4 linked regions of the Anolis sagrei genome follow. The protein of the gene in region 2 purifies or fractionates together with the protein of the main gene of each other region. This does not show direct contact. Links are inferred from orthologs where the notes say so. Each region holds a gene or a part of one and is shown on either strand. Other genes may lie near its edges.

Region 1 (7,399 bases), on a different chromosome or scaffold from region 2:
AATGGAGTTGCACACAATACCTCCCCAAACTCATTAAACTACAACTCCCAGGAGCAGCAGGCCTTAATGCTATGTGATTATGGGAGTTGTAGTTTAATGTGTGATTGTGTGCATCTCCATTATAGAATGAATTATTATTATAATAAATAAACATAATAATAATAATAATTCATTCTACAATGGAGATGCACTCAATTTCTCATTAAACTACAACTCCCATATCCCATAGCATTGAGCCAAGGCTATTCAATGGAGCATTGAACTGAATTCATTCTATAGTAGAGATATAAACAATACTTCCCCAAACTACAACTGCCATAGCATTGAACCAGGATAATTCAAGTGTAGTCGATCGGCATTCATTCTCCAATGCAGATGCACAAATACCTCCCAAAACTACAACTCCCATAGTATTGAGCCAGGGCAGTTTAAAGGGGGATTAAACTGAGTTCATTCTCCAAAGGAGATGCACACAATACCTCCCAAAACTACAACTGTCAGGCTCAAATAGCATTGAAGAGACACACAATACCTCCCAAAAAACTACAACTCCCATACCACTGACCCAGGGCAGTTTAAAGGGGGATTAAACTGAGTTCATTCTCCAATGGAGATGCACACAATACCCCCCAAAACTACAACTGTCAGGCTCAAATAGCATTGAAGACACACACAATACCTCCCAAACTACAACTCCCACAGCATTGAGCCAAGACAATTCAAGTAGAGTCGATCTGCATTGATTCTCCAATGGATATGCACACAATACCTCCCCAAACTAGAACTTCTGGGATCAAATGGCATTGAACACACACAATACCTCCCAAAACTACAACTCCCATAGCATTGAGCCAGGGTAATTTCAAAGGGGGATCAAACTGAATTCATTCTCCAATGGAGATGCACACAATACCTCCCAAAACTACAACTGTCAGGCTCATATAGCATTGAAGACACACACAATACCTCCTCAAAAAACTACAACTCACATAGTACTGAGCCAGGGCAATGCAAGTTGAGTCTAGCTGCATTTATTCTCCTATGGAGATGCCCCCAATCTCTCCTGAAAAACTCAATGGAGATGCACCCAAGGGGGACCCCAAAGGAGCATTCCTTCTGCACCCAGCCTCTCACTAAACTACAACTCCCAAGGACCAAATAGCATTCCAGAGGAGCCCATCCATTCTCCGGTATAGGGATGCGCCTTGAGCCTGCTTGCAAGCTGGAGCACACCCATTAGGATGTTGTTGTTGTTCCTCCTCTTCGACTGACACGCGAGTGTACACGCGTCACGTGTGAGCGCGCTCTCCTCCTCTTTGGCTGACACGCGAGTGTACACACATCACGTATGAGCGCGTTCTCCTCCTCCTCCTTGGCTGACACGCGAGTGTACATGTGTCACATGTGAGTGCGCCTCTCCTCCCCCTCCTTGGCTGACACGCGAGTGTACACGTGTCACGTGTGAGCGCGTTCTCCTCCCCCTCCTCAGCTGACACGTAAGTGTACACACGTCATGTGTGAGCGTGCCCTCCTCCTCCTCCTTGGCTGACACGCGAGTGTACATGCGTCATGTGTGAGCTCGCTGTCCTCCTCCTCCTTGTCTGACATATGAGTGTACACGTGTCATGTGTGAGCGTGCTCTCCTCCTCCTCCTTGGCTGACACGTGAGTGTACACGCATCACGTGTGAGCGCGCTCTCCTCCTCCTCCTTGGCTGTCACGCGAGTGTACACGCGTCACGTGTGAGCGCGCTCTCCTCCTCCTCCTTGGCTGACACGTGAGTGTACACGCGTCACGTGTGAGCGCACTCTCTTCCTCCTCCTTGGCTGACACGCGAGTGTACACGTGTCACGTGTGAGCATGCTCTCCTCCCCCTCCTTGGCTGACATGTGAGTGTGCACGCGTCATGTGTGAGTGCGCTCTCCTCCTCCTCCTTGGCTGACACGTGAGTGTACACGCGTCACGTGTGAGCGCACTCTCCTCCTCCTCCTTGGCTGACACGCGAGTGTACACGTGTCACGTGTGAGCATGCTCTCCTCCCCCTCCATGACTGACACGCGAGTGTACACACGTCACGTGTGAGCGCTCTCTCCTCCCCCTCCCTTGGCTGACACGCGAGTATACACGCGTCATGTGTGAGCGCTCTCTCCTCCTCCTCCTTGGCTGACACGCGAGTGTGCACGCGTCACGTGTGAGCGCGCTCTCCTCCTCCTCCTCGGCTGACACGCGAGTGTACACGCGTCACGTGTGAGCGCACTCTCCTCCTCCTCCTTGGCTGACACGCGAGTGTACACGCGTCACGTGTGAGCGTGCTCTCCTCCCCCTCCTTGGCTGACACGCGAGTGTGCATGAGTCACGTGTGAGCGCGCCCTCCTCCTCTTCCTTGGCTGACACGCGTCACGTGTGAGCGTGCTCTCCTCCCCCTCCTTGGCTGACACGCGAGTGTGCACGCGTCACGTGTGAGCGCACTCTCCTCCTCCTCCTTGGCTGACACGCGAGTGTACACGCGTCACGTGTGAGCGCGCCTCTCCTCCCCCTCCTTGGCTGACACGCGAGTGTACACGCGTCACGTGTGAGCGCGCTGACGCGGGACTTGCCTGAGGCTGAGCGAGCGGGTCTCTCCTTGAGCCTCTTCTTCTTCCTCTTCCTCCTCTTCCTCGGGTCCGGACCCCCCTCCCCCTGCGGCCCCCCCTCCTCCTCGGACGGCGGACCAGGTCCACTTGGCCCACTGGACCGGCGAGAGGAGCTGCCAGGAGGCGCTGAACGCCATCGGGGCCACACGGCGTCAAAATGGAGCGGATCCGGCGCGGATGTGGTTCAGCCCAGCGCCATCCTTCCTCCTCCTCCTCCTCCTCCTCCTCCTCTGACTCCGCCTCGCAAGGCAAGACAGGCAGGGACCCTCTGACGGATGCCCAAGGAGCCGGCCTGCCTCGGTCCCGCCTCCTCCGAACCCGCCTTTCGCCCGCCCAGCCCGCATTCACACGTTACGTCGCCCAACGCGTGCAAGCAGCCAGGCAGCGGGGGCGGGGCCCGCTGCGTCAAAACGCTCCCCCCCCCTCCCGCCCCGGAGCAGAGAGGAAAGGCAGGCCCTGATTGGCCGGGAGGGAGGGGCCCCCTTCAGACGTGAGGTGGCCCCCCGACACGTGACTCACTCCCAGGCTGCATTTGACACCCTGGCAGGAATGGACTTCCACGCTACTGGAACTGCCATTCTTCAATGGAAATACACCTTCTAATTGCATGGCTCTGGGGTATGGAGTCCTGGGAGTTGTAGTTTCACAAGGTCTGGTGGGTCCTCCTTGCAAACACTATAGCTCCCAGGATTCCATAGCACTGAGCCATGCAAATACAGGGTGTATCTACACACCACAGTAACTTCTATGAAATCCTGGGAGTTGTAGTTTCACAAGGTCTGGTGGGTCCTCCTTGCAAACACTATAGCTCCCGGGATTCCATAGCACTGAGCCATGCAAATATAGGGTGTATCTACACACCACAGTAACTTCTATGAAATCCTGGGAGTTGTAGTTTCACAAGGTCTGGTGGGTCCTCCTTGCAAACACTATAGCTCCCAGGATTCCATAGCACTGAGCCATGCAAATATAGGGTGTATCTACACACCACAGTGACTTCTATGAAATCCTGGGAGTTGTAGTTTCACAAGGTCTGGTGGGTCCTCCTTGCAAACACTATAGCTCCCAGGATTCCATAGCACTGAGCCATGCAAATATAGGGTGTAACTACACACCACAGTAACTTCTATGAAATCCTGGGAGTTGTAGTTTCACAAGGTCTGGTGGGTCCTCCTTGCAAACACTATAGCTCCCAGGATTCCATTGCACTGAGCCATGCAAATAGAGGGTGTATCTACACACCACCGCAACTGCTATGAAATCCTGGGAGTTGTAGTTTCACAAGGTCTGGTGGGTCCTCCTTGCAAACACTATAGCTCCCAGGATTCCATAGCACTGAGCCATGCAAATATAGGGTGTATCTACACACCACAGTAACTTCTATGAAATCCTGGGAGTTGTAGTTTCACACGGTCTGGTGGGTCCTCCTTGCAAACACTATAGCTCCCAGGATTCCATAGCACTGAGCCATGCAAATATAGGGTGTATCTACACACCACAGTAACTTCTATGAAATCCTGGGAGTTGTAGTTTCACAAGGTCTGGTGGGTCCTCCTTGCAAACACTATAGCTCCCAGGATTCCATTGCACTGAGCCATGCAAATATAGGGTGTATCTACACACCACAGTGACTTCTATGAAATCCTGGGAGTTGTAGTTTCACAAGGTCTGGTGGGTCCTCCTTGCAAACACTATAGCTCCCAGGATTCCATAGCACTGAGCCATGCAAATATAGGGTGTATCTACACACCACAGTGACTTCTATGAAATCCTGGGAGTTGTAGTTTCACAAGGTCTGGTGGGTCCTCCTTGCAAACACTATAGCTCCCAGGATTCCATAGCACTGAGCCATGCAAATATAGGGTGTATCTACACACCACCGCAACTGCTATGAAATCCTGGGAGTTGTAGTTTCACAAGGTCTGGTGGGTCCTCCTTGCAAACACTATAGCTCCCAGGATTCCATAGCACTGAGCCATGCAAATATAGGGTATATCTACAGACCACCGCAACTGCTATGAAATCCTGGGAGTTGTCGTTTCACAAGGTCTGGGGGGGTCTTTGCTAATTAGTGCCCGAGCCTCGACAAACTACAGCTCCCATAGCATGGAGCCATGGAAATATTGGGAATCTTATCTACATTGAAGGATACCACTGTAACTTCTCTAGCATCCTGGGAGTTGTAGTTTCACAAGGTCTGGAGTCTTCTTTGCAAACATAGCACTGAGCCATGCAAATATAGGGTGTCTCTACACACCACCACGACTGCTATGAAATCCTGGGAGTTGTAGTTTGACATGGTATGGTGGGTCTTCTTTGCTAATTAGTGCTGGAGCCTCGACAAACTACAGCTCCCATAGCATGGAGCCATGCAAACATTGGGAATCTACCTACATTGAAGGATATCACTATAACTTCTATGGCATCCTGGGAGTTGCAGTTTCACAAGGTCTGGTGGGTCTTCTTTGCTAATAAGTACTGGAGCCTCGACAAACTACAGCTCCCATAGCATGGAGCCATGCAAGCATTTGGAGTTTATTTACATTGAAAGACACCACTATAACAACTATGGGAGTTGTAGTTTCACAAGGTCTGGAGTCTTCTTTGCCACCACTATAGCTCCCAGGATTCCATAGCACTGAGCCATGCAAATATAGGGTGTCTCTACACACTGCCGCAACTGCTATGAAATCCTGGGAGTTGTAGTTTGACAAGGTCTAGGCAGGTCTTCTTTGCTAATTAGTGTTGGAGCCTCGACAAACTACAACTCCCATAGCATGGAGCCATGCAACTATTGGGAGTTTATCTACATTGAAGGATATCACTGTAACTTCTCTGGCATCCTGGGAGTTGTAGTTTCACATGGACTGGAGTCTTCTTTGCCACCACTATAGCTCCCAGGATTCCATAGCACTGAGCCATGCAAATATAGGGTATATCTACACGCCACAGCAATTGCTATGAAATCCTGGGAGTTGTAGTTTGACAAGGTCTAGGGGGTCTCTTCTTTGCTAATTATTGCTCGAGCCTCGACAAACTACAGCTCCCATAGCATGGAGCCATGCAAACATTGGGAGATTATCTACATTAAAAGACACCACTATAACAACTATGGAGTCATGGGAGTTGTAGTTTCACAAGGTCTGGGTCTGGAAGCAAAAAGCAAAGGAAGGAAGGAAAGAGGTAGAGAAGCAAGGAGAGAAAGAGGGAGGGAAGAAGGAAAGACAGAAGGAAGGATGGAAGCAAAAAGCGAAGGAAGGAAGGAAACAGGTAGAGAAGCAAGGAGAGAAAGGGAAGGAAAAGAAAAAAGGGGGAAGGAAAGAGATAGAGGAGGAAGGAAGGAGAGAAGGAAAGAAGAAAAAGGAAGGAAAGAGAGAGCGAAGAAAGAAGGGAAAGAAGAAGAGAGGGAGGGAAGGAAAGATGGAAGGATGGAAGCAAAAAGCGAAGGAAGGAAGAAAAGAGATAGAGAAGGAAGCAAGGAGAGAAAGGGAAGGAAAAGAAAAAGGGGGAAGGAAAGAGGTAGAGAAGGAAGGAAGGAGAGAAGGAAAGAAGAAAAGGGGAGGAAAGAGAGCGAAGAAAGAAAAGAAAGGAGAGAAAGAGGGAGGGAGGGAAGGAAAGAAGGAAAGACAGGATGGAAGCAAAAAGTGAAGGAAGGAAGGAAGGAAGGAAGGAAAGAGATAGAGAAGGAAGGAGAGAAGGAAAGAAGAAAAGGGGAGGAAAGAGAGAGCGAAGAAAGGAGAGAAAGGAGAGAAAGAGGGAGGGAAGGAAAGACAGAAGGAAGGATGGAAGCAAAAAGCGAAGAAAGGAAAAAAAGAGGTAGAGAAGGAAGCAAGGAGAGAAAGGGAAGGAAAAGAAAAAGGGGGAAGGAAAGAGATAGAGGAAGGAAGGAGAGAAGGAAAGAAGAAAAGGGAAGGAAAGAGAGTGAAGAAAGAAGGAAAAGAAGGAGAGAAAGAGGGAAGGAAAGATGGAAGGATGGAAGCAAAAAGTGAAGGAAGGAAAAAAAGAGGTAGAGAAGGAAGCAAGGAGAGAAAGGGAAGGAAAAGAAAAAGGGGGAAGGAAAGAGATAGAGGAGGAAGGAAGGAGAGAAGGAAAGAAGAAAAGGGAAGGAAAGAGAGTGAAGAAAGAAGGAAAAGAAGGAGAGAAAGAGGGAAGGAAAGACGGAAGGATGGAAGCAAAAAGTGAAGGAAGGAAAAAAAGAGGTAGAGAAGGAAGCAAGGAGAGAAAGGGAAGGAAAAGAAAAAGGGGGAAGGAAAGAGATAGAGGAGGAAGGAAGGAGAGAAGGAAAGAAGAAAAGGGAAGGAAAGAGAGTGAAGAAAGAAGGAAAAGAAGGAGAGAAAGAGGGAAGGAAAGACGGAAGGATGGAAGCAAAAAGTGAAGGAAGGAAAAAAAGAGGTAGAGAAGGAAGCAAGGAGAGAAAGGGAAGGAAAAGAAAAAGGGGGAAGGAAAGAGATAGAGGAGGAAGGAAGGAGAGAAGGAAAGAAGAAAAGGGAAGGAAAGAGAGTGAAGAAAGAAGGAAAAGAAGGAGAGAAAGAGGGAAGGAAAGACGGAAGGATGGAAGCAAAAAGTGAAGGAAGGAAAAAAAGAGGTAGAGAAGGAAGCAAGGAGAGAAAGGGAAGGAAAAGAAAAAGGGGGAAGGAAAGAGATAGAGGAGGAAGGAAGGAGAGAAGGAAAGAAGAAAAGGGAAGGAAAGAGAGAGCGAAGAAAGAAGGGAAAGAAGGAGAGAAAGAGCGAGGGAAGGTTGGCCACAGCAACGTGTGTCGTGGTGGG
Region 2 (7,680 bases):
ATCTTCTGATTTCAGAATGAAATTATTCTGATTTTTGCCCTCAAAGTTGTAGTTTAATTTATTCAAAAAACTCAAGAGGGGTAATAGTATTTCTAACTGCTACAAGTTCACACCACTCCCTACACCTAATTGAGCCGGTCTGTAAATAACAACAATTCCTGCCAAAAATGGCCAGATTTATTCTCTCAACATTTATGGAACCTTGTGCTAGTCAATGCTGAAGTACAATTTTGTAACAGGGATGTTTCATTGTATTATGACAGCTACCCTTCAAGAGCTCTGGCTAAATTCAAAATGCCACTTCAATTTCAAAATTTTCAGTACTGTCCTGCCAAACACCCCATTGTGTAAACAATAATAATAATAATAATAAACAGCTTTTCCCAACTATAGATAAACTGAAGCCCCTTCCACACAACTGAATAAAATTTCACATTTCCTGCTTTGAACTGGGATATATGGAGTGTGGACTCAAGATAACCCAGTTCAAAACAGATATTGTGGGATTTTCTGCCTTGATATTTTGTGTTATATGGCTGTGTGGAAGGACCATGGGATATATGGCAGTATTGACTGACGACCCTTCCTGACAGGCACTATAACTCAGGATCTGATCCAAGGCTTTCTGCTTTAAACTGGATTATATGACTCTCCACTGCCAGATAATCTGGGATAAACAGAAAACCTAGGATCAGATCCTGGGATATAGGATCTGTCAGGAAGATACCTCAGATAACCCAGTTCAAAGTAGATTTTGTGGGTTATTCTGCCTTGATATTCTGGGTTATATGGCTGTGTGCAAGGGCCTTGAGGATTGAAGCAACAAATATTCAGCTCACGGAAACTTCTCAGCACTTGGCAGGGAATTATTATTACCTCTCAAGAAGAGGTTCGAACCAACGGGAACTGCCTTTTAATTCACGTAGAATGCAACACACAGATTTCAATGTGGTATTCACAAAATACAACACTTGAAATGTCAGGAGAATTAGTGTAGAAAACGCCCCTAGCTGTGCTCCTGGATGACACATCAAAGGGCGTTGGTGCAAAATGCCACCACTACGACTCTGCATGGGAGGAGGAGGAGAGTAGGCTCCGGAGGGGCAACATTCAAAGCAGGAAGAGGCAGGGGCGTGTGTGTAATGTGGGGGTGGGTGCCTGTCGTGGGGGATTGGGGAAGACAACGCCTAAAATACAGGAGGAAGCGTGTGAGGCTCTGATCCTCCTCCCAGCCTTATTATTATACAAGCCAAGAACATCCATCTATCCATCCATCCACCCGCATCTTGGGCCTGGCGCACACAACACAGGGAAAGGCAGGGAAGCAGCTTCCCGGAAGCCTCCGTCTCATATGAGCCTGTCACAGTTGCGACACAGAAGAAGGGATTTGGGAGGTGAAACAGACTCAGGGCCCTTCCACACAGCCCTAATATCACAGAATATCAAGGAAGAAAATCCCACAATATCTGCTTTGAACTGGGTTATCAGATAATGTGGGATTTTCTGCTTTGATATTCTGGGATATAGGGCTTTGTGGAAGGGCCCTCAGAACCGTCAGCATTGCAATGGATGTGATATTCTTTTCCACCATGCTCGATCAGAATCTCAATGGGCTGTGTGGAAGGGCCCTGAGTGGTATGTGAGGGGCCTTCCACATAGCCCTATACCCCAGAATATCAAGGCAGAAAATCCCACAGTATCTGCTTTTAACTGGGTTATCTGAGTATACCCTCAGATAATGTGGGATTTTCTGCTTTGATATTCTGGGATATGGGGCTGTGTGGAGGGGCCCTGAGTGGCAGAGGGTGCTCTGAATGGCTTTTCCTGCTTTTTGACAGGGGGTTAGACTGGATGGCCAACTCAATGATTCTACTTTGGAAATGACGGCGATATGGATGGGAAAATATCGACAAGAAAAGGTGTTTTTGTTGGCTCTTCTGGGCCCCTTCAACACTGCCATACGATCCTGATTACGGAAGCAGATAATCCACATTATCTGCTTTGAATTGAATTACACTGCCCTATAATCCAGATTATCGAAACAGACAATCCACAGGATCTGCTTCGAACTAGATTATACAGTATGAGCCCACACTGCCATATAACCCAGTTGAAAGAAGAGAATTTGGATTTTGTATGGCAGTGTAGATGGGGCCCTGGAAGCCCGTGAAGGGAGGCTGAATGAAGACCCCTCCACACAGCCCTATATCCCAGAATATCAAGGCAGAAAATCCTACATTATCTGAGTGTGGACTCAGATAACTCAGTTCCAAGCAGATATTGTGGGATTTTCTGCCTTGATATTCTGGGATATAGGGCTGTGTGGAAGGGCCCTGAGAATGTATTTTTGTCTCTCTGGTGGAAAAGGCATATGCATGTAATCCCTGCAGAGAGAGAGAGAGAGAGAGAGAGAGGCAAGGCGCCAGTCCGGCTCTCAGCTGAGAGAAGGGCAGGCGGAAAGAGACAGCGACGACGCCATGCGGAAGGGAAGGGAAAGCGAGGCAGGCCTCCCCAGCCCCCGACTGGCTGGCTGGCTGGCTGACCGGGAGCCTGGGCCCGAGGAGGCGGAGGAGGCCGCGAGGAGGGAAGCGTCAGCAAGATGGCGACGTCTCGTCCCGTTTCCCCGCTCGGAGCCTCCCCAGTGGCGACGGGCCCAAGCCTCCTTTTACAGGCCCCGAGGGAAGCCGCCCTCGATTTCCTCACAGCTCCCGGGGAGAAGGAGGCCCTCCCTCCTCCCCCCCCCCCCGAGAGGAGGCTTCACCTCCCTCACGGCGTACCTTTGAATTTGAGGTCGGTGGGCGGATCGAGCACCAGGATCTGGTCGTGCTTGGCCAGAGCCCCCGCGGCCGCCATCGCTGCTGCTCACACGTTCGCCTCAGTCCGGGAGCGGGAGGAGGAGGAGGAGGAGGAGGAGGAGGGCGCTCCGGTCGGGGAAAAGGAGGGGAGGGACGGAGAGGAGGAGGCGGAAGACGCGTAACAGGAGCACGCGCGCTCTCGTCAAGGCAAGCAGGCGTGTGTGCGCGCGCGCGCTCTCAGGGGCCCGCCTCAGCCTATGAGAATGCTTGTCATCTCTCTCCAATGGCACGGAGGGGCAAGCGGCCGGTTTAAGTTCTAAAAATTTTCGTTTCTCCGTCTTGCGAGAGAGAGAGAGAGCGCGCGCGGCTGCGAGACGCCGCGAGAGAGAGTCGTCTTCGCCGCTCTCGACACACGCAGGCGTGCGCGCGCGCGCGCGTTCCTTCCTGAGTGCCGCGAGACCGTCATTGACAGCTCGCCTCTCTCTCTCTCTCACTCTCTCTTTCACAACACCAGAGATGCGCTCGAGCCGGGTAGAGCGAGAGAGAGAGAGAGAAGAGCGCGCGCCGCTGTTTCGTGTCACGCGCGTCCTGGAGGGAGGAAGGAAAGGGAGAGATGGAAGTACAGGGAACACAAGAGCCCCCGGTGGCGCAGTGGGTTAAACCCCTGTGCTGGCCGAACTCAAGACCGACAGGTCGCAGGTTCGAATCCGGGGAGAGGCTCCACCTCTTCATATGGCTTGAATCCGTCTGTCAGCTCTAACTCGCCATGTGGGGACATGAGAGAAGCCTCCCACAAGGATGATTAAAAACATCAAATCATCCGGGCGTCCCTTGGGTAACGTCCTTGCAGACGGCCAATTCTCTCACACCAGAAGCAGTTTCTCAAGTCGCTCCTGACACGACAAAAAAAAAAAGGGAACACAAGACATTTGAATCCCTGTCAGGAGGGAAGATTGACAGGTCGGAAAGACAAGGCGGGGATAGTGAGAAGAGAGAGAGGTGCTTAAGTCAAAGTGGAAAAGAAAGGGAATTCGAGACCTATTCGACGTCGCCACAGTGAAGGGGGAAGCAGAGGACTACGACTCCCAGGATGCAGCGCGCGAGCCCGCTCCCCGAATTCTGCGGTCGGCGGGGGGCCAGGGCATGCTGGGAATTGTAGTCTCGAGGGAGGGAAGGGGGCACACACAGCCCAGGATGGGAGAAGGTGGGCGTTTCCCCCCTCAGGTTTAACACCCTTTGTGAAAGGAGAGGACAGGTTTAAAGCCTTGCCTTTCCTTCCAATCTGGACAAACGTTTCCAGCTGTCAAATTCAGAAATAATCCGGGTTTGCTAAATTTCAAACGTGTACAAAAATGCTCAAAATGCATCATGGCAAGCTTTCGAAGATCTCCTGATTTTTTGTATAACTGTGATTGCTTACAGTAGCGTTTCTCAACCTGGGGGTCGCGAGGGGGTGTCAGAGGGGTTGCCAAAGACCAGCAGAAAACGCAGTATTTTCTATTGTTGATGGGAGTTTTCTATTGTTGATGTAGTTGCTGGGATTTATAGTTCACCTACAATCAAAGAGCATTCTGAACCCCACCAAGGATAGAATTGGGTCAAACTTCCCCCAACTACAACTCCCAAATGTCAACGTATATTTTCCTCAAACTCCACCAGTATTCACATTTGGGTATATTCATGCCAAGTTTGGTCCAGATCCATCATTGTTTACTCTCTCCATACAGTTGAACTACAACTTCAAAACCCTTCCAGTATTTTCTGTTGGTCATGGGAGTTTGTGTACCAAGTTTGGTTCAGTTTCACCGTTGGTGAATTTCAAAATGCTCTTTGATTGCAAGTAACCCAGCAACTACAACTCCCCAATGACCAAATCAATTCCCCCTAACCCCACCAATATTGTTTTGGGGTGCATCAGGTATTTGTGCCAAATTTGGTCCAGTGAATAAAAATATATCCTACATATCAGATATTGACATTACAATTTATTACCGCAGAAAATTACTGTTATGAAGTAGCAAATAAAAGAATTGTATAGTTGGGGTCACCACAAATTGAGGAACTCTATTAAGGGGTCGCAACATTAGGAAGGTTGAGAACCACTGGCTTATAGTGTATTGGCAAACAAGGCGAGTGGAATTTCAGACATCAAAGAGGGATGCTATCAATAATCATAACATGGGATCCCTCCCTGACAGTCATTCAGAGTTGTTTCCGACTCTTCGTGATCTCATATTATATATATATATATATATATATATATATATATATATATATATATATATATAATATACATGTAATATTTATAATATTATAATGTAATCCAATATAATAATACTACTAATAATAATATGATATTATAATTATACTAGCTGTACCCGCCACGCGTTGCTGTGGCCAACCTTCCCTCCCTCTTTCTCTCCTTCTTTATTTCTCTCCTTCCCTCCGTTTTTCCTTCCTTCCCGCTTTTTCTTTTCCTTCTTTCTTCCTTCTTTATCTGTTTCTTTTCTCGCTTCCTTTGCTCTTTAGTTCCATCCTTCCTTGTTTCTTTCCTTCCTTCCCTCCTTCTCTCTCTCTTTCGTTCATTCTCTCCTTCCTTCCCTTTCACTTTTTTATTTCCTTCTCTCCTTCCTTCTCTACCTTTCTTTCTTTCCTTCTCCCCTCCTTCTTTCCCTCTTTCTCTCCCTCCTTCTCTCTCTCCTTCTCTCCTTCCTTCCTTCTCTACCCTTCTTTCTTTCCTTCTTTGTCTCCTTCTCTCCTTCCTTCTCTACCTTTCTTTCTTTCCTTCTCTCCTTCTTTCCCTCCTTCTCTCCTTCCTTCATTCTCTACCCTTCTTTCCTTCTCTCCTTCCCTCCTTCTTTCCCTCTTTCTCTCTCCTTCTCTACCCTTCTTTCTTTCCTTCCTTCTCTCCCTCCTCTCCTTCCTTCCTTCCTTCCCCCTTTTCTGTGTATGTATTTTGTGTGTGTATATGCATATATGTGTATCTATGTGTGTTTGTGTATATATGCGTGTGGTTTTGTGCATGAGTTGTAATGTATTTTGGGGTGGGTTTTTTTACTTTTTAAGTCCCTCCGCTGTGTTTTTTCCATGTTTTAATGACTAATGGACACTCGTTGGCCTGATAGGTGTCTTGTGTCCAAATTTGGTGTAAATTTGCCCAGTGGTTTTTGAGTTCTGTTAATCCCACAAACAAACATTACATTTTTATTTATATAGATATTTTATATTATATGTAATATTATTAATAATATATATATGCGTGTTTATTATATATTAATATATGCATATATATTAATTACATATATATATATGTATTAATATTATTAATAATATTACAGTCTAATGGTATAGTACAATATTGTAATCTATAATACTGATATTGTGCTATGCTAATAATATGTATTGTGCAAATTTTAAATGACTACCATGTTGACAAAAAGGGATCTGTTGCTGGTTGATATATTAGTTTGTGTGTGTGTGTGTGTGTGTGAAGCCCACAATACAATCTTCAGACACTAGGTGGCAGTCTTATCCAACCAGTTCATAGGTAGTTAGCAGTTTAGTCCAAGTTGAGGCCAGGGCAACCAAGAAAGAAGACACAATAGGCTCTCTGTAAAATGGAACCCAAGCTACTGTAACTCTCAAGCAACCAGCAAAATATATAGTTCAGTACTGTATTCTCAAGGCTATTCTTATAATACAGGAAAACTCTTGTCACATTACATTTGTCTTTAGTTGCTTTTTGTTGAAGTATCTCAACATTAGTATCAAATCAGTAGAGTTCATAGAGCCCCCGGTGGTGCAGTGGGTTAAACCCCTGTGCCGGCAGGACTGAAGACCAATAGGTCGCAGGTTCAAATCCGGGGAGAGGCGGATGAGCTCCCTCTATCAGCTCCAGCTTCTCATGCGGGGACATAAGAAAAGCCTCCCACAAGGATGATAAAAACATCAAATCATCCAGGCGTCCCCTGGGCAACATCCTTGCAGACGGCCAATTCTCTCACACCAGAAACAACTTACAGTTTCTCAAGTTGTTCCTGACACGACAAAAAAAAAAGTAGAGTTTATAGCAGGGATGGGCAAACTATGGCCCTCCAGGTGTTTTGGACTTCAGCTTAAGAGGCCAGAAATGTATTTTCTGTGGAATGTATTGTACTCATGACTACTATAACTTAACCTATTGATTTCATTGGACACTTTTAAATAAATTAAATTTGAATATAGTCCTGTGAGCTTATATTAGATGTGCATGAACAAGATCGGAGCTCCCTGTGGCACAACGGGTTAAACTGCTGAGATTCTGAACTTGCTGACTGAAAGCTCAGCAGTTTGAATCTAGGGAGTGGGATGAGCTCCTGCTGTTAGCCTCAGCTTCTGCCAACCTAGCAGTTCGAAAACATGCAAATGTGAGTAGATCAGTAGGTACTGCTATGGAGGGAAGATAACAGCACTCCATGTAGTCATGCTGGCCACCTGACTTTGGAGGCGTCTACGGAAAATGCCAGCTCTTTGGCGTAGAAATGGAGATAAGCACCACCTTCCAGAGTCAGACACGACTAGGGAAACCTTTACCTTAACTGTGAACAAGATATGGAGTGCAATCCTATGCATATATACTTAGAAAATAATTATCAATTTTCAGTGGTGTTCACATCGAAATAAGTATCAGCTTCACAGCATTCGCTTACAATATTAGGAAAACTGTTTCCAGGATATCTACTGTTACTATTCTGGTTTTTGTGAAATGACTTTGTAATTATGTATGTTTAACCTGGCAACAGGAGAATTAAGATCAATTGAATTTTTAAAAAATCTTGTACAGTTGCATCCAAGTGGTACTATATACCATGGCATACAATTCTTGCATTCTTATTTGACTTGATTT
Region 3 (7,942 bases), on a different chromosome or scaffold from region 2:
AACTGTGGACTCAAACAATCATGGATCTGGACCAAACTTGTCACAAATATTCCATCTGCCCAAATATGCACACAAATGGAATTTGGGAGAACTAGACCTTGACATTTTGGAGTTGTAGTTACTGGGATTTATAATTCACCTAAAATCAAAGAGCATTCTTGTGTGTTGTTGTTTATATGTGATTTATATTAATTTGTATTGTATTATATTGTTTATTAATTTGTATTGTATTGTATTGCACTGTTTATTGTACTGTTTATTGCTTTCCTGTTTTATTGATATGTTGTTGGGCTTGGCCTCATATAAGCCGCTCCGAGTCCCTTGCAGAGATGGTGGCGGGGTATAAATAAAGTATTATTATTATTATTATTATTATTAGAATTATTCTGAACCCCACGAATGACAGAATTGGGGCAAACTTCCCACACAGAACCCCTATGACCAACAGAAAATACTTAAGGCCATCCAGCCCAACTCTCTTCATCAGGGCAAGAAAACGTAATCAAAGCCCTCCTGACAAAGAGCCATCCAGCCATAGATATAGAAAGATATGATCCACACACACAGATATAGTATCATAGATTTGAAAGGGACCCCTAAAGAAGGACAAGTATATCTTGCATGTTCCAGAGTAGGCAAACCAGTCAATCTCCACACCAACAGTGACAAAGAAACAACAAAAAATGCTGTTTATCCACAAACATAAAGAAATTACATATATTAGAAACCAACACTTTCTCATTACTTTATTTTCCAGATCAGTAAACTGGGCCACAGCAAAACATGGCAGGGGTCAGCTAGATGCACTATAAACACATACACACAAGCGTTGTACAGCATAGGGAAAAGTGAACACCGCTATGGGGTTTGTTTTGCTGTCTGTGACCCTGTACAAAAGATTCCACCTCACTATTTGTCTCTGTGAGAATTTGAGAAATGTGGTTTGTTGTGAAAACAAGGACTGGGGATAAAAGGCTTCAGTGGAGACTCCTTTCCCCCAGGATAATAATTCTTTCAGGAGTGAATTTCCCTTCCGAGGAGTAGATTCCTTTCACTTCCTGTCGTCACAGCCCCATTCTTAACTAGGAGTTGGATGCAAGTCGGATGTCTGTAATGTGGGAAATGTGTGTATCATCTGTCTGGGAGTCCAGTGGAGTCTCCTTTTCTGGAGGTCTCTGAACTGAGGTTGGATGGCCATCTGTGGGGAGGGCTTTGACAGTGCCTTCCAGGCAGCCTTTGTTTGCTTTCTGAATGAGACAAATGAGCTTGAGCTACAAAAACACACACTACTGCTGGTCACACTCTCCCAGCCTCAGAGGACATAATTATTACACTATGTAGCAAAACACAATACAATTTAATAACAAATTGTTATTAAATTGAATTAAATGTTGAAAGTATTACAAAAATCACAAATAAAATCAATTTAAAAAAAAGAAAGCTGCAATCTGTATTGACGTCTTTAATCCGGATTAGCCTTAATCCGAATTGCACCTCCCCCCCCCCCATTCACTTTCAGAGGATCCATGAGAAGAGAGGCAATAGTTCGTTTGCTTGTTAAAAAGGGGGGAGGAAAGTTCCAATCCGGATTGAGGTCTTTAATCCGGATTAGCCTTAATCCGGATTGCACCCCCCCCCATTCATATTCAGAGGCTACATGGCAAGAGAGGCAATAGTTTGTTTGCTTGTTTAAAAAGAGGGGAGGAAAGTTTTAATCCGGATTGAGGTCTTTAATCCGGATTACCCTTAATCCGGATTGCACTTTTTCCCTCCCCTTTTCCTATCCAGAGGCTCCATGACATGAGAGACAATTGTTTTGTTTGTTTAAAAGAGAGAAAAAAATTCCACATTGAGATCTTTAATCCGAATTAGCCTTAATCTGGATTTGGAGCTTCCCCCCAATCCAGATTTAGTGGCTCAATGTTGTTTTTTGTATTTACTTTAGAAAACAAAAAGCTCCAATCTGGATTGAGGTGTTTGAACGGGATTAGCTTTAGTTTTGTTTGTCCAGATGGAGGTGTTTAATCCGGATTAGCCTTATTCTGGATTTTGAGCTCCTCCCCCATTTGGATTTATTGGCTCAATGTTGTTTTATGTATTTACTTTAGAAAACGAAAAGCTGCAATCTGGATTGAGGTGTTTGAACGGGATTAGCCTTAGTTTTGCTTGTCCAGATGGAGGTGTTTAATCCGGATTAGCCTTCGTCTAGATTTGGAGCCCCCCCCCCCAATTCGGATTTAGTGGCTCAATGTTGTTTTCTGTATTTACTTTAGAAAACGAAAAGCTGCAATCTGGATTGAGGTGTTTGATCCGGATTAGTCTTAGTTTTGTCCAGATGGAGGTGTTTAATCCGGATTAGTCTTATTCTGGATTTGGAGTTCCCCCCAATCCGGATTTACAGGCTCAACGTTGTTTTTTGGGTTTCCTTTAGAAAAAGAAAAGCTCCAATCTGGTTTGAACGGGATTAGTCTTAGTTCAGTTTGTCCAGATGGAGGTGGTGTTTAATCCGGATTACCCTTAATCTGGATTGGAGCTCCCCCCACCCCCCAATCTGAATCCAGCGGCTCAATGAAGAGGGAGTCAATAGTTGTTATATATATATTTTTTAAAAGCTCTAATCCGGATTAAAGATAATCCGGATTAAGGTCTTTTCCACGCAGCTCTGGGCCGGAGAATGAGATTTGGGGGGAGTGGGGGGTTGGGTTCGCTCCCCGTCGTGGATAGCCAGCTTTAATCCGGATTAAGGCACCCCCAATCCGGATTAAGCGGGAATATAAATAAACAAACAACTCCAAGAGCCCAACTCACGGGGAAGGGTGGGCGACGTCCTCGGCGGCGTCGTAGAAGAGCTCCTCGGGGTCTGAGTCGGAGGCCATCCCCGGGAAGGAAGGAGGAAGGAAGGGAGGAAGGAAGGAGCCAGGAAGGAGGAGAAGGAGCAGCAGCGGCAGCCGCGCAGAGCGGGTCGGGCCTGGCCCCCAAATCTCGCGAGAGGAAGGAAGGAAGGAAGGCGGGGCGGGGCCACCGGAGCCCCGAGAAAAGGAGGAGGGGGGAAAAAGCAACAGCACCAAGAGGGTTGGGAAGAGTCACTCGCACGCATCACTTCCGGCTCCCAATCGCTGGGTAAGAGGTGGAAGCCAAGGAATCCTATATGCATGCAAAAACATACATAGATGCATGTGCATGTAGATCATATATTAGTTGTTGTTGTTCTTTCCTTCAATTTTTTTAGTAACCTCATGGACCATACAGGGAAAACCAACTGATCCCTAATCCATCTAAAACACAGATTTGTGCTTTTCACCATAAGAACAGACAAGTATCTCAAGCTCTGAGGATGACCTGGGAAGGAATCCCACTGGAGCATTGCAGCACACCCAAATACCTGGGAGTCACTCTGGACCAGGGGTCCTCAAACTAAGACCCGAGGGCCAGATGTGGCCCTCCAAGGTCATTTACCCGGCCCTTGCTCAGGGTCAACCTAAGTCTGAAATGGCTTGAAAGCACACAATAACAACAACAACAATCCTATCTCATCAGCCAAAAGCAGGCCCACACTTCCCATTGAAATACTAATAAGTTTGTATTTGTGAAATTGTTCTTCATTTTAATTGTTGTTCATTCGTTCAGTCGTCTCCAACTCTTCGTGACCTCATGGACCAGCCCACGCCAGAGCTCCCTGTCGGCCGTTACCACCCCCAGCTCCCTCAAGGTCAGTCCAGTCACTTCAAGGATGCCATCCATCCATCTTGCCCTTGGTCGGCCCCTCTTCCTTTTGCCTTCCACTTTCCCCAGCATAATTGTCTTCTCTAGGCTTTCCTGTCTCCTCATGATGTGGCCAAAGTACTTCAACTTTGTCTCTAGTCTCCTTCCCTCCAGTGAGCAGCCGGGCTTTATTTCCTGGAGGATGGACTGGTTGGATCTTCTCGCAGTCCAAGGCACTCTCAGCACTTTCCTCCAACACCACAGCTCAAAAGCATCGATCTTCCTTCGCTCAGCCTTCCCTAAGGTCCAGCTCTCACATCCGTAGGTGACTACAGGGAAGACCATGGCTTTGACTAGGCGGATCTTTGTTGCCAGTCTGATGTCTCTACTCTTCACTATTTTATCGAGACTGGACATTGCTCTCCTCCCAAGAAGGAAGCGTCTTCTGATTTCCTGGCCACAGTCTGCATCTGCCGTAATATTTGCGCCTAGAAATACAAAGTCTGTCATGGCCTCCACATTTTCTCCCTCTATTTTCCAGTTGTCAATCATTCTTGTTGCCATAATCTTGGTTTTTTTGACGTTTAGCTGCAACCCGGCTTTTGCGCTTTCTTCTTTCACCTTGATTAGAAGGCTCCTCAGCTCCTCCTCGCTTTCGGCCATCAGAGTGGTGTCATCTGCATATCTGAGGTTGTTAATGTTTCTTCCAGCAATTTTCACCCCAGCTTTGCATTCATCCAGCCCCGCACATCGCATGATGTGTTCTGCATACACGTTAAAAAGGTTGGGTGAGAGTATGCAGCCTTGCGGTACGCCTTTCCCAATCTTGAACCAGTCTGTTGTTCCGTGGTCAGTTCTGACTGTGGCTACTTGGTCCTTGTACAGATTCCTCAGGAGAGAGACAAGGTGGCTTGGGATGCCCATCCCACTAAGAACTTGCCACAATTTATTATGATCCACACAGTCAAAGGCTTTAGAATAGTCAATGAAGCAGAAGTAGATGTTTTTCTGAAACTCCCTGCCTTTCTCCATTCTCCAGCGGATATTGGCAATCTGGTCTCTCGTTCCTCTGCCTTTTCTAAACCCAGCTTGAACCCATTTTAATTATTGTATTTTTTTTCAGTGTTTTTTTGCACTACCAATAAGATATGTGCAGTGTGCATAGGAATTCATTCATGCTTTTTTCAAATTATAATCCGGCCCTCCTACAGTTTGAAAGACTGTGACCTGGCCCTCTGTTTAAAAAGTTTGAGGACCCCTGCTCTGGACCATGCTCTGACCTACAAGAAGCACTGCCTGAATATCAAGCAAAAAGTGGGGCGCTAGAAACAACATCATACGAAAGCTGACTGGCACAACCTGGGCATCACAACCAGACACAGTGAAGACATCTGCCCTTGCGCTGTGCTACTCTGCTGCTGAGTACGCATGCCCAGTGTGGAACACATCTCACCACACTAAAACAGTGGATGTGGCTCTTAATGAGACATGCCGCATTATCACAGGGTGTCTGCGCCCTACACCACTGGAGAAATTACACTGCTTAGCCAGTATTGCACCACCTGACATCCGCCGGGAAGTAGCAGCCAATAGTGAAAGGACCAAGGCAGTGACATCTCCAGCTCATCCCCTGTTTGGGTATCAGCCAGCACGCCAACGACTTAAATCAAGACATAGTTTTCTTAGATCTACAGAGACATTCTGTAGAGCAAGAGTCCAAAAGTGGCAGCAAGAGTCCAAGCAAGCAAGAGTCCAAAAGTGGCAGGCCCAAACCCAGCGCCTCAATCAATGGCCGATACCAAATGAGAGACTCCCCCCTGGGCACACAGAGGACTGGGCGACTTGGAAGGCGCTGAACAGACTGCGCTCTGGCACCACGAGATGCAGAGCCAACCTTAAGAAATGGGGCTACAAAGTGGAATCCTCAACATGCGAGTGTGGAGAGGAGCAAACCACTGACCACCTGCTGCAATGCAACCTGAGCCCTGCCACATGCACCATGGAGGACCTTCTTGCGGCAACACCAGAGGCACTCCAAGTGGCCAGATACTGGTCAAAGGACATTTAACCAACTACCAAGTTTGCAAAATCTCTGTGTTTTTTTCTTCTTTTTCTTTTTAATCTGTGTGTTTGTTTTATTCTGTTAGAATTGTAATACAACGGTATGGTTGCTGATGACACGATAAATAAATAAATAAATAAATAAAGGACCATACATACATTATATATATATATATGCACACACACACATATATGCATACACACATATATCTTCTATCTATATACATAAACATGTAATGTTCGTTTGTGGGATTAACATAACTCAAAAACCACTTGACGAATTGACACCAGATTTGGACACAAAACACCCAGCAAGCCAATGAGTGACCATCCCTCATAAAACACTGAAAAACACAGCAGAAGATACTTAAAAAGCAATTAAAATACATTACAACACATGTGCAAAACCACATATATACCGTATATGCAAACACACATATATATACACATATACACAAATATATACACACACAAAACACATGTACACAGACTGGCCCACAGCAATGCATGGCAGGGGATGGCTAGTCACTTATAAAATACTGAAAAACACAGCAGACCATAATTAATAAGCAAGAAAACAAAATTATAACACACAAAACCACACACGCACACACATATATGCAAACACACATATACACAGACTGGACCACAACAACGTGTAGCAGGGGAAGGTTAGTCTATATAAATAAAAATGTAATGTTCGTTTGTGGGATTAGCATAACTCAAAAACCACTGGACGAATTGACACCAAATTTGGACGCAAGATACCTATCAGGCCAACAAGCGACCATGACTCATAAAAACACTGAAAAACACAGCAGAGGAGACTTTCAAAGCCAAAAATGCAAAAAGATGCTACAGCGCATGCGCAAAACAACTCCCCTTTCAAACAAAACACACAATAGCACATCCACACTCTCTTCTGGACTACAGCTCCCAGCATCCCCTAGACCAGGAGAGGAGAGGAGAGGAGGATGATCCAAATGGACTGCTTCCAAGATGCAAGCTTTCTTCTCCTTGGATTTCTTTGAGAGCATCCCAATTCCTACATATTTCCAATTTTCCTATTCCTGGACTGCAACTCCCAGCAATCCTCCAGACAGATAAGACAGACAGACAGATAGATAGATTAGAGATAGAGATAGATACATAGATAGATAGATAGATAGATAGATAGATAGATAGATACATAGATAGATAGATAGATAGATAGATAGATAGATAGATAGATAGATAGATAGATAGATAGATATTCTTTGACTACTGGGAGTTGCAGTCCAATAATAGGTAGAGAAGGAAGAAAAGGGAGAAAGAAGAAGGGAAAGAAAAGCTGAGGGGGAAGGAAGGGAAGAGGAAGAGAAGGAGACAAAGAAAGAAAGAAAAAAGAGGAAAGAAGGAAGGAAAGAGGGAGGAAGAGAAAGAGAGAGAGAAAGAGGGAGAGAAGGTTGGTCACAGCAACGTGTGGCGGGTACAGTTAGGACTATATATATATATAGATATATGCGCATACACACACACATACACTCACTCACTCACACATAATCATAGAATAATAGAGTTGGAAGAGATCCCAAAGGCCATCTAGTCCAACCCCATGCCATGCAGGAAAAGCACAATCAAAGTATCCCTGACAGATGGCCGTCCAGCCTTTGTTTAAAATTTTCCTAGGAAGGAGCTTCCACCACACTCTGAGGCAGAGAGTTCCACTGTTGAACAGCTCATATGGTCAGGGAGTTCTTCCTAACATTCAGGTGAACATTACATATAAATATAATACTAGTCGTACCTGCCACGCGGTGCTGTGGCCAACCTTCCCTCCCTCTTTCTCTCTTTTCTTTCTCTCCTTCCTTCCTTCCTTCCCTTTTTTCTTTCCTTCTCTCCTTCCTTCTCTGCCTCTTTCCTTCCTTTCCCTCCCTTTTTCTTCTTTCTTCCTTCTCTACCTATTCTTAGACTGCAACTCCCAGAGGTCCTCCTGATTGATCTGTCTACCTACTATCTATCTCTGTCTAATCTATATATCTTATTTATCTGGAGGATTGCTGGGAGTTGCAGTCCAGGAATAGGAAATATGCACGGATTGGGATGCTCTCAAATCCAAGGAGAAGCAAGCTTGTAGCTGGGAAGCAGTGCATTTGGAGCATCCTCCTCCCTTAAAGGGCCTGGTCTAGGGGATGCTGGG
Region 4 (7,330 bases), on a different chromosome or scaffold from region 2:
TATGTTTATTCATATCATGATCTGATCACCATACTCAATATATCCCATATGCATGGGAGTATTGGGGTAATGATACAAAGGTTTGCTAGGATAGACCCTCTTTCACTCAGACTCATCCCCCCCCCGAAGCTCAGCCCCCCGACCCCCCCTGAAAAAAACTCAGCCCCCCCCCCCCCCGAATCGAAATCCTGGCTACGGGCCTGGGTCACAAGCATGGTTGGTGGGGACGAGAGAAAGAGCCTTCTCGGTGGTGCCCCCCTGCGTCTGGAACACCCTTCCTAGAGAAATAAGACAGGCCCCATCCCTCCCCTCCTTTCGTAAGAGCCTGAAGACCTGGTGGTTTAAACAAACCTTTGAGAACAACTATTATTTATTTATTTATTTGATGCATTTATTAACCGCCATTCTCAGCCCTTTAGGGCGACTCATGGCGGTGTACACACATATAAAGACAATTTACAAAGAGGCAATTACAACAACCTATAAACTACACAACTAGTTCTAGCTCAGACCAAGATACTGTTGAATATGGCCATATCTTTTTCCACCAATTAATTACCCAGGTTAATTCCTCCTCTTAGGCCCCAGAAATGAACAGCCCATAGACTCTACCTAATTTCCCAGGCCCTCTACAAATTGCCTTGAACAGGCAGGATTATTTTAAATATATATGTGCTATTGTGATTTTTTTTTATGCTTATACTGTCTTTTAAATTTTATGTTGTTTACTTTGCATGCATTGATGATGTTACTTGGAAACCAATCTGAGTCCCCTCGAGGAGATAGAGCTGTATATAAATAAAGTTTTGTTGTGGTGGTGGTCAACGTTCAACACAAAATGACCATAGAGTCATACTAGAAGAGCAAGAAATTCATAGAGAAAACACTTTAATCAAATCTGTGAGTTGCACCGGCCAACACACCTTTTGGTGCCTCAAATGGTAGCTCTGTTTTTGGATATATTTGACCTGCTGATTCCAAACACTCCGCCGGTTTTGCCTATTGGGTCTAGTTTTTTGAGATATGGAAGATATGCCATTTACTAGTTGCTGGTCCGTAAGAACTCATGATAACCATAGGAAACTAGAGCTGGTGGTCAATCCCAGGCCTAGGCAAACTTGGGTCTTCCCTCCACAGTGTTTTGGACTCCAACTCCCACCATTCCCAACAGCTTAAGCGGCTGAGGGGGGAAAGGAAGGGGCCTGAGGCTGTTAGGAATGGTGGGAGTTGGAGTCCAAAACACTGGAGGGAAGACCCAAGTTTGCCCAGGCCTGATATAGAACTACAACTCCCCAGATTTCACAGTGTAGATGCCCTCTTTGTTTCATTCCAGAAGAGACATTTAGTGTCATTGGTGGGAGGAAAATGTTGCCATTCTAAGTAGAGCAATTAAAGAGGTCATTAATGGCTGGCAAGCAACCAGGGATAATCCTCCTGGCAATCAATGTTTTGGTTTATTTACAGCCCTGTAGCTAGTGCTCAAGTATTCCTATTTTTGTTGCTATTTATAAGCGTATTTATTGGGGAGGGGGCGAGAGAGAGAGGGAGGGAGGGAGCTGGGGAGCGCTTACGCACGCATTTGTTCTCGAGGTTTCCTTCGCCCCGCAGCTGCTCCCATTGAGGCGCTTGATGTCACCAGCCCCTGACGTCACAGGCGTTTCCCGGGTAATGAGCTGTGATGTCACAGGAGGAGGGGAGCGCGCGCTCGCTCACCCGCCCGCCCGCTCTGCCTTCCTATCTGCAGGTTGCCGCAGTTCCTATGGAAACCTCATCCCGGTTTGCAAAAGAGAGAGCCGGGCTGCAGCGTTATAGCATCTGGAGCAGCCTCGAATCCAAACCGGGACAAAGGAGGCAGGGAGAGAAGGAGAACTCCCCCGGCGCGATGGTTGCGCGGTGCTTCCACCAAAGGTCTCGAAAATTGCTCAATGTCTCCCTTTTTTGGGGGAGGAATCTGAATAATAATAAACTTCACAACCTCTGAGGATGCTTGCCATAGATGCAGTCGAAACGTCAGGAGAAAATGCTTCTAGAACATGGCCATATAGCCCGAAAAACCTACAACAACCCACTAATTGCCTGCACACCTCGCCAAGGCCCCATTTACACTGACATTTAGTGCAGTTTCAGACCGGTATTGGAAGAAAGTGGCATGGCTGTGCAGATGATGACTACATAGGGAGGAACTCATGGAACCAGTTTGGAGTGACACCTCTCCAAAGCCCCATCTACATTGACCATTTAGTGCAGTTTCAGACTGGTATTGGAAGAAAGTGGCTTCGCTGTGCGGATGATTGACAACATAGGGAGGAACTCATGGAACCAGTTTGGAGTGATTGATTGCAAAAACCACTGAGACAGCATTAATTAAGGGCTTGCTTTTGTAGGGATCTGTTGCTTGAGGTGGATGCTAAATCATCACACTAGAGAATTAATCTACTTTAAATCCAGTTGCTGCCTCCTGAAGATTTCTGGGGTTTGTAGTTTAGGGAGGAACCTTAAACAACCTCCCTAAACTACAAACCCCAGAATTCTGCAGGAGGCAGAATTTAATGTGGGTTCATTCTCTAGTGTGATCTAGGGCTCTTCCACACAGCCATATAACCCAGAATACCAAGGCAGAAAATCCCACAATATCTGCTTTATAGTGGGTTATCTGAGTCCACACTGACTGACATATATTCCAGTTCAAAGCAGAAAATGTGGGATTTTATTCAGCTGTGTAGAAGGGGCTGAAGTGAATGGCCATCATTGGGCCCTTCCAGACAGGCCCTATATCCCAGGATCCGATCCTAGATTTTCTGCTTAAAACTGGATTGTATGAGTCCACATTGCCTGATAATCTGGGATAAACAGAAAACCTGGGATCAGATCCTGGGGGCCCTTCCACACAGACATCTATCCCAGAATATCAAGGTAGAAGATCCCACAGTATGTGCTTTGAATTGGGTTATTTTAGTCCACACTCAGATAATGTGGAATTTCCTGCCTTGATATTCTCGGATATAAGGCTGTGTGGAAAGGCCCTGGGATGTAGGGCCTGTCTGGAAGGACACGTAGATGGGGCTTCCATCCCCAAAACACCCGGTTGCAAGGTTGCATCTGGGGGCCCTTCTTTTGTTGTTCTTTTGTTCAGTTGTTTCTGACTCTTTGTGAGCTCATCGACCAGCCCATGCCAGAGCTCCCTGTCGGCGGTCACCACCCCCAGCTCCTTCAAGGTCAATCCAGTCACTTCAAGGATGCCATCCATCCATCTTGCTCTTGGTCAGCCCTTCTTCCTTTTTCCTTCCATTTTCCCCAGCATCATTGTCTTCTCTAAGCTTTCCTTTCTTCTCATGATATAGCCAAAGTACTACACAGCCCTATATCTGAGAATATCAAGGCAGGAAATCCCACATTATGGACTCAGATAACCCAGTTCAGAGCAGATATTGTGGGATTTTCTGCCCTGATATTCTGGGATATAGGGCTGTGTGGAAGGGCCCTACATGATGGAATGAATGCAGCCTGGCTCCACTTGAACTGCTATGGCTCCATGCTCAGGAATCCTGGGAGTTGCAGTCTGGAGGGGGCATCAGCAGCAATTTTTGACAGAGAAGTCGAAAGACCTCGGGCCCTTCCACGCGGCCCAATATCCCTGAATATCAAAGCAGACAATTCCACAATATCTGCTTTGAACTGGGTTATCTGAGTTCACACTCAGATAATGTGGGGTTTTCTGCCTTGATATTCTGGGATATAGGGCTGTGTGGAAGGGTACCTTGTCAAACTTCAACTACCAGGATCCCTTCGCTTTGAGTCAATGCAATCATTCCACAATGTAGATCCACTCTGGGTCAGGCCTGGGCAAACTTGGCCCCTTCAGGTATTTTGGACTTCAACTCCCACCAATCCCAAGGGCCTGAAGCTGTTGGGAATGGTGGGAGCTGAAGTCCAAAACACCTGGAAGGCCCAATTTTCCCCAGCTCTGTTGAAGACCTTGTAAAACTACAACTCCCAGGATTCCACACCCGTAAGCAATGTCAACCCGCCTTCCTCATGCATGCCACAGGGTAGAAAGGAGATGCGCCCAGAGATTCTTCCTTTGCCTTCCCCCCTCCCTTTCCTGAACCCCGTTTCCTCCTCCCTCCCTCCTCCTCCTCCTCCTCTTCCCTCCTCCTCTTGCAAGGAAGGCGAGACTGCGGCTGAGCGAGCGCGCGCGCTTCGGGGCTGCGGTGACGCGGAGGCAGCGGCCCTCCTCCTCCTCCCCCTCCCTCTCTGCATCCCCCTCCCTCTCTCTCTCCTCCCTCCCTCCCTCCCTTCCTGGGCCACCACCGTCCAGACCATGATCTTCTTGCCGCCTTCGGAGCGCGTCCCCGGCGGCGCCCCTCCAGCAGCCTACGGAGGAGGAAGAGGAGGAGGAGGAGGAGGCAGCAGCGGCAAGGCAGGCGCCTCGGGAGGGAGGACCTAGGCGCAGCCAGCCAGCCAGCGTCCCAAGCCCGCTGCCTGCCTGCTTTCCTTCCTTCCTTCCTTCCTCCGGAGCATTTCCCACCGCCGAGCCACAGGTCTGGACGCAGATGGGGGAAAAGGGGGCCAGGGAGGAGGAGGAGGAGGAAGAGGAGGAAGGCGGGAAGTGGTGGGCGTGCAAGAGAGAGAGAGAGGGGGGATTCACATGGCAACGGGGGCTTGGGAGGTCGGTGTCGCTTCATAGCCGTGCCTCAGTATCTGAAAGGATGCATCGGGGGCAAGCTTGTTTACTGCTGCTCTGGATTGCCATGCCTTCCAATGACAGGAAAAGGGATTCCACCAAAAACATCAGGAAGAACTCCCCTATATGTTAAACCTCCTATTAGGTTTATAAGCAGAGGCTGGGTGGCCATCTGTCGGGAGTGCTTTGATTGTCTATTTCTGAATGACAGAAAGGGTTGGGCTGCATGGCCCCTTGGGGTCTCTTCTGACTCCAGGATACTATGTATGATGGTCACCTGTCAAGGGTGCTTGGATTCTGGAAATTCATAAGCAGAGGCTGGATGGCTGTCTGTCAGGAATGCTTTGATTATGTATTTCTGCATGACAGAGTAGGGTTGGATTGCATGGTTCCTTGGGATCTCTTCTGACTCCAGGTATCATGGTTATCTATCAGGGCTGCTTTGATTCTGGAAATTCATAAACAGAGACTGGATGTCTGTCTGTCAGGAGTGCTTTGATTGTGTATTTATGCAAGGCACAGTAGGGTTGGATTGCATGGTCCCTTGGGGTCTCTTCTGACTCCAGGTATCAGGGCCATCTATCAGGGGTGCTTTGATTCTGGAAATTCATAAGCAGAGGCTGGATGGCCATCTGTCAGGAGTACTTTGATTGTGTATTTTCTGCAAGGCAGAGTAGGGTTGGATTGCATGGTCCCTTGGGGTCTCTTCTGACTCCAGGTATCATGGTCACCTGTCAGGGGTGCTTTGATTCTTATAAGCAGAGGCTGGGTGCCCATGAAATGCTTTGATTGTGTATTTCTGCATGGCAGAGTAGGGTTTGGTTGCCTGGCCCTTCCGACTCCAAGATTCTATGCATGATGGTCACCTGTCCAGGAATGCTTTTATTCTGGAAATTCATAAGCAGAGACTGGATGGCCATCTGTCGGGAGTGCTTTGATTGTGTACTCCTGCATGAGTTAATGCATTCAGACAGGGTAGGGTTGGGCTAGTTGGTCCTTGGGGTCTCTTCCAACTCTAGGATTCTATGTATAATGTTGACCTGTCCAGGAGTGCTTTGATTCTGGAGATTTTCAAGCGGATCCTGGATGGCTATCTGTTGGGAGTGCTACATGACAGAAGGGAGTTGGGTTTGATGGTCCTCAGGGTCTCTTCCAGCAGTGGAATTCTATGTTATGAGCACAGCACATGGAAGATTTCTGAATGACATGTAGATTTCTGGTTGTGTTTTCCTGCAAGAGTTTTGGACTGGATCATGGTCCTTGTGGGTTGAATGCAATTTTCCTGCTTCTTGGCAGGGGGTTGGACTGGATGGCCCACGAGGTCTCTTCCAACTCTGTGATTCTCTGATTCTAGATCAAGGAAGGTAATGCAGTGGGGAAGAGGTGGGCGGGGGCCCAAGGAAGTGTAACACACCTACAGACATGCACATCCATGCCTTTTGTGGTTTTTGTGTTCTTGCTGTAGAAATTCCTGAGAAATAGCTCTGGGTGGCAGTGAGCTATTGTGCGTCTACACTGTAAAATGAAGACAGTTTGGTACCACTTGACCTGCCATGGCTCAACCCTTATAGAAACCCGTAAGTTTGGCATTCATTCTACAGTGTAGATGCACTCAAGAATAAATAGGCAAGAAATTTATTATTGTTATTATTATTATTATTATTATTATTATTATTATTATTATTATTGTGTTGCCGAAGGCTTTCATGGCCGGAATCACTGGGCTGCTGTGAGTTTTCTGGGTTGTATGACCATGTTCCAGAAGCATCATCATCATCATCGTTGTTGTTATTGTTATTTTACTGACAGAGAAACACAGTATGTCACAGCAAATGAGATATATATGCTTTATTTCGTATCACACAATCACAAGTCGAACACTTCCCAAGTGTCTAGGACTGGGTGATGTATTTTCAAATGTATTGTCGAAGGCTTTCGCGGCTGGAATCACTGGGTTGTTGTATCTATGGCAAGCATCTGAGGATGCCTGCCATAGATGCAGGTGAAACGTCAGAATATGGCCTCTAGAACATGGCCATATAGCCCAAAAAAACCCCTACAATAACCCAGTATTTTCGAATGATGCACGCAGATCCAAGTAAGGTGGCCTTTTGCAGTTGACAGATCATGATTTTGTCAATAATAATAATAATGTGGGCTAGGACACCTCTCCTTCCTCTCACTGTTTGAATCCAGAGTGGGATCTCTTGGTGGTCTCCCAAACTCATCTCCTTTCTCGAATGCCTTGGTTCTCCATTTCCATGAAGCAGGGAGTTTCTCACCTAAAGAAAAACATGTGGCTGCCAGCACATTCAGAGGATGACTGCTTTTTCTTTCTCTTTCTTTCTCTTGCTGTGATTTCCTTCCTCATACTTTGGGGCAGGCTGACATTAGACAGGGTTTGTCACCTGGAAGCCTGGCCTTAGCTGAACCTCACAGGCCTGTTGTGTTGTTATACTCACCATTAAAAACACAGGAGCCCAGCCAAGGGTGAGGAGGGGCCATTATTTTGGATGTACTAGCTTGCTGGTTCTTCTAGCGATGCATTTTCTACCCACTGTGCAAGAATTTTTGAGGACTGATAGAATATAGAGATTTTTAGAAGTGGCTTGGGCCAGGTTACCACGTTTCTTCCCCCCGCCATCT

Evidence for each region.
Region 1: the proteins of VAPA (region 2) and TACC1 purify together in Homo sapiens (co-immunoprecipitation; 4 studies listed by BioGRID and IntAct, counting the BioPlex papers as one, with this or other methods). This does not show direct contact. The link is inferred for Anolis sagrei from reciprocal best matches to the Homo sapiens genes VAPA and TACC1.
Region 3: the proteins of VAPA (region 2) and WDR44 purify together in Homo sapiens (affinity purification with mass spectrometry; 3 studies listed by BioGRID and IntAct, counting the BioPlex papers as one, with this or other methods). This does not show direct contact. The link is inferred for Anolis sagrei from reciprocal best matches to the Homo sapiens genes VAPA and WDR44.
Region 4: the proteins of VAPA (region 2) and PITPNM1 purify together in Homo sapiens (co-immunoprecipitation; 4 studies listed by BioGRID and IntAct, counting the BioPlex papers as one, with this or other methods). This does not show direct contact. The link is inferred for Anolis sagrei from reciprocal best matches to the Homo sapiens genes VAPA and PITPNM1.

What each region holds. Positions count from the first base shown.
Region 1 is NC_090027.1:2,516,264-2,523,662, reverse strand, and holds the start of TACC1 (transforming acidic coiled-coil-containing protein 1), read right to left. Parts: upstream 3,003-7,399; 5' UTR 2,770-3,002; coding exon 2,597-2,769; intron 1-2,596. UniProt on the Homo sapiens protein: Involved in transcription regulation induced by nuclear receptors, including in T3 thyroid hormone and all-trans retinoic acid pathways. Might promote the nuclear localization of the receptors.
Region 2 is NC_090024.1:64,967,920-64,975,599, reverse strand, and holds the start of VAPA (vesicle-associated membrane protein-associated protein A), read right to left. Parts: upstream 3,019-7,680; 5' UTR 2,854-3,018; coding exon 2,778-2,853; intron 1-2,777. UniProt on the Homo sapiens protein: Endoplasmic reticulum (ER)-anchored protein that mediates the formation of contact sites between the ER and endosomes via interaction with FFAT motif-containing proteins such as STARD3 or WDR44.
Region 3 is NC_090030.1:22,993,745-23,001,686, reverse strand, and holds the start of WDR44 (WD repeat-containing protein 44), read right to left. Parts: upstream 3,002-7,942; 5' UTR 2,877-3,001; coding exon 2,809-2,876; intron 1-2,808. UniProt on the Homo sapiens protein: Downstream effector for Rab11 which regulates Rab11 intracellular membrane trafficking functions such as endocytic recycling, intracellular ciliogenesis and protein export.
Region 4 is NC_090021.1:235,040,009-235,047,338, reverse strand, and holds the start of PITPNM1 (membrane-associated phosphatidylinositol transfer protein 1), read left to right. Parts: upstream 1-4,330; 5' UTR 4,331-4,541; intron 4,542-7,330. UniProt on the Homo sapiens protein: Catalyzes the transfer of phosphatidylinositol (PI) between membranes. Binds PI, phosphatidylcholine (PC) and phosphatidic acid (PA) with the binding affinity order of PI > PA > PC. Regulates RHOA activity, and plays a role in cytoskeleton remodeling.